2 linked regions of the Drosophila melanogaster genome follow. The protein of the gene in region 2 interacts with the protein of the main gene of each other region in a pairwise test. Each region holds a gene or a part of one and is shown on either strand. Other genes may lie near its edges.

Region 1 (6,769 bases), on a different chromosome or scaffold from region 2:
GGGTAATGTGTGACTTAGATTTTAAATGTCGTTAAATGACTAATGACTAGCCTCCTACAATAAATGGATCTTTTGTTGCTTTGGCATAGAGTTCTTCAAAAGCGAAGAATAGAATATATAAATGTAGAATTTAAGGGCTTAAAACAATCGGAGTATTGTAAACTGTTGCCAGCTTTCCAATACATTTATTTTAGAAAAGTGATGCCAGATCGATGGAGTATCGCAACTATCTATAGATTTTATACACTAAAAAAACCGTATTTTAGTGATCTATCGTGAGTAGTTAGAGAAATATCTATGAAAGAAATTGTATCAATATCGATAAAAAAAACTTTTTAAAGTTTCAATTTGTTTAAACCATGTAATTTACTTTAATTTTTTAGCTAAATTTCATTTCAATATTTTTAGCTATTCCAAGCAAGACAATTTCACGTTTTACTCACGCTTAACCTCACATATTTCTGACACCAGCAGCCCGATAGAAAATAGCTAAAATATCCGTTCTTCTCTGACAACCAAGTTTATTATAAACTAAAAACTATAAAAAAAGAATGGTCTGAAGTGAATTTTTCATCTTGTTGTTTATTTTAGTTTTAGTGTATCATTTCTCAGTGTACACACGTTATTTGTATAAAAAAAAACAGACAGAAGTTTGTTTTTGCTGGTGATGATGTCTCCTTAACGGTTGGACTTGGCGACACGCTCCAACTCATCCTTCTTCTTGATGGCGTACGAGTTGGAAGATCCCTGGAAATACATTTAAACACAAGTTATTAGTATTGGCTATCAATGTTTTTCTAGATCTTTTATATGTTAATTGCGCTGTTATGTTACTGTTACTGCATTGTATGGATTCATCGCTTCTAAATAAATAAATATAAAAAAACAAGTCCCTAACTTATTTAAAGCTAGTGTTCCTTTACGTTTCTCATGTGCATTGAACTAAGCAATATTACAAGCACAAGGATAATAAAGGATGGAAATTAATCTGGTCCAAAAGCGAGACTACATAATTAAACCACCATGCAGAATTAGATTGGACCTATTATTAAGCTCTATATACCAACTCTTAAATAGTTTGCTAATGTTCTTTTACGTTTCTCGTGTGCATTAGACTGATATTGTCACAAGCACAAGGATAATAAAGGATGGTGATTGTTCTGGTCCAAAAGCGAGACTACATAATTAAACCACTATGCAGAATTAGATTGGACCCCCGCTATCCTAATCGAATCAGTTCCTAAATGCTAATTCATAAAAGTGTTCTTTTACGTTTCTCGTGTGCATAGGACAGTTAAGTGGTCACTAGCACAAGGATAATAAGAGATTTGGAGTTTGATCTGGTCCAAAAGCGAGACTACATAAATAAACCATGATGCAGAATTAGATTGGACTAGTTGAAATGACTAGCTGTGTCACTAGAAGGAAGAAAAGAGCTATTTCGAAGCTCAATTCTTGGGTTAATCCGAGTGCCGAACGTGGTTCTCGATCTGGTCTACAAGCGAGGCCAGGCATTTTGGTAGTACAATGCCAAGCATTAGAGTAGACCACCCCATTCCCACTTTGATCTCGCCACAAGCCCAATTTACCCACCTTAGCAGCGTTGATCAGCTCATCAGCCAGGCACTCGGCGATGGTCTTGATGTTCCTGAAGGCAGCCTCACGAGCTCCAGTGCACAGCAGCCAGATAGCCTAAAGGAAATATACGGAAAAAAATTAATTAAGTAACTTTATGAACGCAATCACAGCAGCGTAAGAATTTGGGGTTCTTATCGTTAGTAAAATGAAAGTGTGTTATGCAATTGATAATGTCTCTTCGTTTCATACGCCAAATGTCGGCTATACTACACATTATGACGCTACGGATATTAGATAGATTTTCGTTCTGGCCAAGTGTTATAAGCAAGCAGTCTCTAAACGAACCACAAGCCATTGCTACCGGCCACCGTGAGCACATGCATCTGGAAGGCAAATCTTCAGAAGAAACCCACCTGGTTGACGCGACGCAGGGGCGACACATCGACGGCCTGGCGACGGACGGTACCGGCACGTCCAATACGGGTGGAGTCCTCACGGGGTCCCGAGTTGATGATGGCGCTGACCAGGATCTGCAAAGAGGTCACAAAAAAAAATCGAAATGAGTAAGCTATCACTTGATCCACTCGAAGCACCAAAGTAGAATTTTTGCTGTTGATTTATTGCTTTATTAAGGTTGCATTTTTGAGGCCATGCCCTTAAGAGGAATAGCTAATCATGGGGTTTATTGTGGTCCAATTGAATACCACAACGCTGTAGGGATCAACGCTGCAGTTTTAGTTTTGGACGGATAATGATACCCTTGGTGAATAATGCTTAACTTTAGTGTTGTTTTAATTTCCAGGAGAGCAGGAAGTGGCTTATATCTTCAGGCACAAGGATAGTTAAAACAATTTCAATTGATATTAGTCCATTTTTGGTTATGCTCAGTATGGCATCGTATTTTTAAGCCATCTGGCATTGAGGTGGACTGACACGCGGTTTCTGAGAATAGGTTTTTGTTGATTTATGCTTTATTAAGGTTGCATTTTTGAGGCCATGCCCTTAAGAGGAATAGCTAATCATGGGGTTTATTATGGTCCAGTTGAATACCACAACCCTGTAAGGATCAACGCTGCAGTTTTAGTTTTGGACGGATAATGATACCCTTGGTGAATAATGCTTAACTTTAGTGTTGTTTTAATTTCCAGGAGAGCAGGAAGTGGCTTATATCTTCAAGCACAAGGATAGTTAAAACAATTTCAATTGATATTAGTCCATTTTTGGTTATGCTCAGTATGGCATCGTATTTTTAAGCCATCTGGCATTGAGGTGGACTGACACGCGGTTTCTGAGAATAGGATTTTGTTGATTTATGCTTTATTAAGATTGCATTTTTGAGGCCATGCCCTTAAGAGGAATAGCTAACCATGGGATTTCCTGTGGTCCAATTGAATGCCACAACGCTGCAGAGATCAACGCTGCAGTTTTAGTTTTGGACGGACACTGATCTCTGTAATGAATGCTTTCTTTCTAATGTAGTCTTAAATTCCAGGAGAGCGGGAAGTGGCTTAATCTTCAAGCACTAGGATAATTAACACTTATTCCTCTGAGTCTATTTAATATATGCCTTAGCTGGGATGGAATTTCCTTCAACTAGCATTGAGGTAGACTCATTGTGAAAGATCCACTAATATGCTATTGTCTTAAATGTCGAATTAAGTTCCAGGAGAGCGGGAAGTGGTTTTATCTTCAAGCACAAGGATAGTTAATACCTTTTCCTATGAGTCCATTAAGAGTTATGCTCAGTTCGGCTGAAAATTACCATCAACTGGCATTGAGGAGGACTCCTCTATAATACTATTGTAGCTTTAAGTTCCAGGAGAACCAGAATTTGCTTTCTATTCTAGCACTAGGATAATTAAATCTTTGGTTCACTATTAGTCCCTTTGAGAGTTATGCTTCGGAAAGTATGTAGAACATAGCCAGCATTGAGGAGGACTAGAAATCAGTGAAGATTCCCTTTAAATCAGTTTAAACCAAGGTACCGCATATGCTTTATAATGGTTTTGTAATGTGGTTTTAAGTTCCCGGAGAACAAGAAGAGGCTTTGATATCTTCAAGCACTAGGACATTAAAACCTTGTGTTCGCTCTGCGTGCCCATTCTACCCATGACCGAGTGGCAACGTTCTCTGGCCACAGTTTAGCATGGGACGCGGTGGAATTGGGAACATTTGGACGGGATGGGCATGTTTACCTGCAGAGGGTTCTCCCCGGTGAGCAGATGAATGATCTCGAACGAGTGCTTGACGATGCGGCAGGCCATCAGCTTCTTGCCGTTGTTGCGACCCTTCATCATCAGGGAGCAGGTCAAACGCTCCACAATGGGGCACTGGGCCTTGCGGAAACGCTTGGCGGCATAACGTCCGGCGGAATGGGGAAGATAGCGGGCAAACTTCTCCTTCACCGAGATGTAATCCTGCAGAGAGATGTCGTTAACGGTGACATCGTCGCAAGACCAGCGGCCGAACAGCTTGATCTCCGGCAGCTCAGTGGTGGACACCACATTTGTCTCCAGGATCGTCTCGGCCACCTCGGCTTCCATAGGTGCCGCTGGCTCCTCGAAGGTCTCCACCACGTTTTCAGCAACTTCGGCCATGCTGCAATAGTTTTTGGAAGGCAAATAAGTTAGTCACGTGTCTGCAAATCGGTATTGGTAATTCTACTGTGGGATGGGATACTTGAGGGCTTTGCGATCTATTACTATCACAGACATTCATTAATGGTTGGTTAATGGTATTTGTTCGTTGATTTTAATAAGCTAACTTCTATTATTGAACATCATTGTATGGCTTGAACATCACCTAGAAGTTTTACAGAAACGTGTTTTTCAGTATTTGTTTATGGAAACATCGTCCCTTTTGTACAAATTTTATACACATACAAATTGTTTATAACTTTAACTAGATTTCGTTTGAAAAATTCTTTTACAAATACAAAACCCAAGAAAAGGCTGTGATAAACTGATACGAATAATTTTTAGAGCCTTAACATTCGTTTTTAAATCTTAAAAACGTCTTAAAACAAAAATAAACTACAAAAAAAGTTCCAAGGTTTATGAAAGACGGAAGTTTCAGTGAAGATTACGTTTAAGTATACAAAAAGGGTCACAATAACTTTTAAATACATATTTAAGTAGTTTTCCTGCGTTAACACGTTTTTTTTAAACTGTAGATGGGCGCTATACGCACACACACACACGCATAAGCACCGTAAAAAACACACGCGCGTTGTTGTTGTTGAATTGCGAGTTTTTAAGGGTTTATACTTTCTTGAAGGTTATCCTTTTGGATAATTGGCTCAATATACGTGGATGTATATTGTATTAAACATATTCTTGCGCTGCAAGCAGATAAAAAAAATATACAAAAAAAAAGGGGAAACAAACACGTGTGACGCACACACACAGTTGCACTCGCGCGCACACACACAAACAAAAAGCCGCCCGTTTTTAACCTCATTTCGGTGGAAATGGCAATATTCCGCAGTTTGCCGCAGTAAATTCACAAAACCCTTAGTATCCACACTAGTTGCCAGCGTTTAGCCGTCTTTTGGCCATCCTCTGGCCACAATCCACACAATTAAACGTTGAAAATCCCTTACTTTGTCACAGAAGAAATCGAGATACGATGTCAGCGCAAAGGCAAACGCCTGAAAAAGAACATGTTACGGCAGTGTGCAGCAACGCCAGAGAGTCCGCTTCCGCCGACACGCACACGGTTGCATTCCGGCTGCCAGGGCTGCGCAACAAGTGAACTATCGAACGGAGATAGGCGGCCATGAGTGGGGATTATTCCTCGACTTAATCACTTTTTCGAACGCGTTTGCTACTTGAGTTGCACATTTATATGTACTTCATAGAAATATACCCTGCTTTCAGGCATACTATTAGTTTTAAGCCACTTTTTTAATGACAAATTTCGAACTTTCTATCGATATGCGGCATTTCGCGGTTTTGCCAGTCACAACGGGTGGCGATAGTTGAAATTCGCATGCCAAATTTTCTTTATTACGGTCACCTTATAGAAATTTTGATATGCTTGAGTATTAAATGTTATTATTTCACTGACTGTAAAATAAAAAGTTATTTAAATCGTAATGCATATATATTTATAACATATAGTTCTTTATTTGATTTTGTAAGTGGAAAAAAATATGTGGTATGTAAAGATTATATATATGGGATATATAAAATACACAAAAATTTTACTATATTACATAGTAAATTTAAGGGTGGTAAAACGTTTTTACACGAATACAATATCCAAATACTTTAGTAAAATATATTTTTAATCATAAGAATTTACCCATATTATTAACTTTTCTGGCACATTCTATATCCGATAGTTTACACCTTATGCCTTAGTATTTTTCGGTATTTTCTCCGGCCACACTGGCAGCAGGCCGAAGTTTCTCGTCCAATTGGGATTATTTCGGAATTTCAGTTACTAGCTCGTCATCAAAACAGCAACAACTGTTGAGAATAAAATTCTTGCGTGAAACCGAATCAATAGAAAAACAAATAAAACAAACAAAATGGTTCGCCGTGGACGTTCAGCCAGTCCCCCGCCCTCCACTCGTCGGTAAGACAGTCGCGAAAAACAAAGAAAATTCGGGGGAAATTGGATAAAGCGCCGGCAGGAAATTCATTTCGTAATCACCGACCAATCAATCGGATGATCTGGCTTTATCTCATGGACAGAATTTCACTTCCGCCGCTTTTTCCGGCCCCCGAAATGGGTTAAGGTTACGTAACCTTAAAAATAAGAGGATTCCCAATAACATGGGATGTTTTATTGGTGCTGTCCTCCTAGCGGAAGACCCGCTAAATCTGGCTACTTATTCAATTACGAAAGTGCTCATAAAATCCATTTTTGTAAGAAATTTACTAAATTTATTGTTCTATGTAAATATATATATATATCCCAGGCCATTGATTTATTAAATTAAAAACATCACATGTTTTTATTTTGCGTTAAAAAAGTAAAATATTCAAATGTTTATACAATTTGGCTTATTATAAAGAAAACAAGAATTTGCATAGGAATATAAAAATATTACCTACTTTTGCAGTAGATATAAAATAAAGTCCTTTAAAAATCCTAGGAATTAGTTAAATTTGTATAGTTCATTGTTTTCAACACAAAGACCCTTCAATTTCGTCACGGAATGATCAACGACACTCCAGAGCAA
Region 2 (2,922 bases):
ACACAGGCACACAGACACAATTGCTCATCGAATTGGGTCACAAATGTGGCTATGGGACTTAGAGTCCGTCACATGGCAGCGATTTGAACGAACGCAACGCCATCCTGCTGGAATCTATATGCTTGATGGGATTTATGTTCCGAGGGCGTGATCCACTTGGGCAAAGCAATGTGGAGCAGTTTCAAGCGGTTCGCGGTGGAGACGTCTGAATATGCGACCGACCGCACAAGACAGCAATTTCGACTGACAATATATTTGGCACCCGCGCCGCATCCATTGACAAAAATGCCCGCGAGAGAAACCAACGGAGACGATCTCGTGAGAATCATCTAGTAATGGGAAATTCAAGAGGTGAATCGCTCGGAAAATGGCTTGCAATAATCCGTTTTAGGACGGCTGCAGTTAGAATATATAAATACAGACGACACATGTTCTTTATGGCTTTCGAAAAGGAATCGGAGGGCAGAGGGCACAAAACAACAAAAAATAAGTTTTAAATCATTTTTTTTTTTGTTACCAGTTTTCCTTATCTCCAATCCCAATTTTTTTTTGTTCCATAGTATAAAGTCCAATTAAAGCATAGACGGATTTAATTCGAAAACATTCTTCACATGAATTTTTTTTTGCCACTAGTACTGTTGACCCTGGATTCCTTGGCCCAAGCCGCGCAGTTCCTCCATCAAAGCCGCCATTCCAATGCGCTGGTGAAATTGCTGCAACTGCTCTCGGTTGGGACTTCCCACGTAGTGGGGCACCTGTTCTGTGTAGGCGCCGGCGGATCCATAGGCTGGGGCCTCCTGGGCACAAGGAGCTGGGGCCAAATTGGGCTGGCAGCTGAACAGGTAGTTGGTGGGGCATGGTGGAGCCGGGTAGCCAGAAGAAGCAGCGGGCGCTGAATAAGCTGGAGCTGGAGCTGCATACGGGCAGGAGGCACCGGCAATGGCCACAAACGCAACGAGGGTGAGAGCAACGATCTGCATGATGAACTAAGTGATTTACAACTGTCGATTTAGTGACCAATGGTGGCATTCTTATAGCATTCATGCGTTGACTTTAATAACAAAACTCGGCACTTTTACCGTAGGCTTTAAGAAATGCAGTGCCATCACATAGCAAGCAATTTAAACGGGTCGCAAACTAGAAACAAGCAGACGATTATCACCTAATGTGGCAAAAAATTACTGTCACCATGCAGTCTGTCTCCCTTTTTGCAGAGCTTAATAGCAGAGCAATTAAATTATTGCGTCCAAAGTGCAAATCGAATGTGAATTTGCTCATTTTTTGGACCTCAGCTGTTTATTGACCCAATTTCCCAAGTACGATATTTAAGTATTACTTAAACGGCTGCCAATTTTTACAAGTTAATAAAACGTATGTAACATTTAATCTGCTAATAAATACTTCGCTTTTAAAAATGGTTATCCTAAAAATTAAATAAAGAAGTCATTTTATCTTATCGTATGTAGTAGAGCGACCCCTAGCGGGTACACTCAGAACAGATCAGGTCTCCTTAGCGAGTACACAAACCACAATCTAGATTTCGCCTTGGAGACTAGTTTATCGTATTTCAAGAGTTTTGCCTTCAAACACATAATTTCATGTTACGATAAAAAAATGTTTATAAAGTTTTCAGTTTATTTATAAAGTCAGAACATAAAAATATAAATTTACACAATTTGCAAATATTCTAATTGATTAAGTTTTCTTTTTATTATATTCGGCATATAGAGATCTTTTTGCCAACCTATCTGTTTCAGTTTCTTTTACGATAATTTAGCAATAAATGGAAATTTGTATTGAAAATTTATGTCATCTTTTAGTCATAACTCGATTTGACCTGCGTCCATTTATTATGGAAATCCTAATTGACCAAAACGAAACAGTCATAAACTTGAATGTAGAGTGCATAAATTGCAACCCGTTTTTTGAATGATATTCTATGCAAATAAGAAACATAGTTTCCTGGAAGGTTGGTAAGAAAATAATGCTTAAAAAGATCTATTTGCATAATTGGTTTAATTCGTAAGAGCAGCAAGTAAAACAGCTATGTGTGTACTAGCCCATTCTTTTCTAAGCTTAAGATGTAATATTTATAATTATGATTGATGACTATTCGATTTGGAACCTGTGTCTCGTTCAATAATTCCTTCTCTAATTGTGGCTTTAGTTATACAATTTGCTGATGATAACAAACAGTTTCTCATGCAACTGTCTGTCCAAAACGAAAGCCCCCCTCAAGTTGATATTGTTTTTGAATCTAACTTTGGCCGCAGGTAACTTTCCCCGCCGAAAAGCGAAGAGGGGTGTATACTTTAATTTGAGAAGGATCGCGACCGCTGGATTTTGGGTCGGGCAATTACGCACATGCACCATATAAAGCACACCACATACGTACATACATACATACATACATATGTATAAGATCGGACCTAAATTTTAATCATAGGCTTTGTGCCGATCGCCTGCCGCTGGCCTTCAAAGTGGGGCACCTTCGTTTCGAAGTGGATCCATCGAAATTTTCGGGTGTAGAGCCGTTTTGATTGCCCCCTCTAACGGTAAACAAATACCTGCCCTTGTTTTCGGTGTGCGTACGTGTGTGTATGTGTGTGTGTGTGTGCGATCCAGACATGGCCCCAAGATATACATCTTAACTGGAACTCCAATTGCAGGTAGTCCAGGGTGGGGTAATATTATATAGAATAATGGCCTTGGGACATACACCATCTTAGGTGGATTTTAATTGGTTATTGGTTCAGCAACTGATCAATGAATATTTAAGACTTAGCCTTTGTTTTATTGACTAAGCATACAATCCGTAGGCCTTCACTTCTCAAATATTTTATGGCCTTCTTTCTACTCCTTTGTTTTCGTTCAATTTTTTTTCTAGACGCTTCACTGAGATCAGTGGCTTTAATCGGCATT

The links. The genes of interacting proteins can lie anywhere in the genome.
Region 1: the proteins of Vm32E (region 2) and RpS5a interact in a two-hybrid assay, tested with the Drosophila melanogaster proteins (one large-scale study listed by BioGRID).

Annotation. Positions count from the first base shown.
Region 1 is NC_004354.4:17,143,025-17,149,793, forward strand, and holds RpS5a (ribosomal protein S5a), read right to left. Parts: upstream 5,241-6,769; 5' UTR 5,180-5,240; exon of another isoform or gene 4,664-5,179; intron 4,183-4,663; exon of another isoform or gene 4,177-4,182; 5' UTR 4,176-4,176; coding exon 3,774-4,175; intron 3,736-3,773; exon of another isoform or gene 3,588-3,735; intron 3,522-3,587; exon of another isoform or gene 3,377-3,521; intron 3,367-3,376; exon of another isoform or gene 3,224-3,366; intron 3,192-3,223; exon of another isoform or gene 3,050-3,191; intron 3,018-3,049; exon of another isoform or gene 2,879-3,017; intron 2,857-2,878; exon of another isoform or gene 2,706-2,856; intron 2,672-2,705; exon of another isoform or gene 2,533-2,671; intron 2,511-2,532; exon of another isoform or gene 2,360-2,510; intron 2,326-2,359; exon of another isoform or gene 2,186-2,325; intron 2,109-2,185; coding exon 1,992-2,108; intron 1,947-1,991; exon of another isoform or gene 1,807-1,946; intron 1,693-1,806; coding exon 1,594-1,692; intron 1,551-1,593; exon of another isoform or gene 1,411-1,550; intron 1,397-1,410; exon of another isoform or gene 1,259-1,396; intron 1,217-1,258; exon of another isoform or gene 1,083-1,216; intron 1,045-1,082; exon of another isoform or gene 910-1,044; intron 748-909; and 3 more. Other genes in the region: Chchd2 (Coiled-coil-helix-coiled-coil-helix domain containing 2), read left to right, coding at 6,113-6,159.
Region 2 is NT_033779.5:11,170,655-11,173,576, forward strand, and holds Vm32E (vitelline membrane 32E), read right to left. Parts: upstream 1,012-2,922; 5' UTR 981-1,011; coding exon 630-980; 3' UTR 513-629; downstream 1-512. UniProt on the Drosophila melanogaster protein: Major early eggshell protein.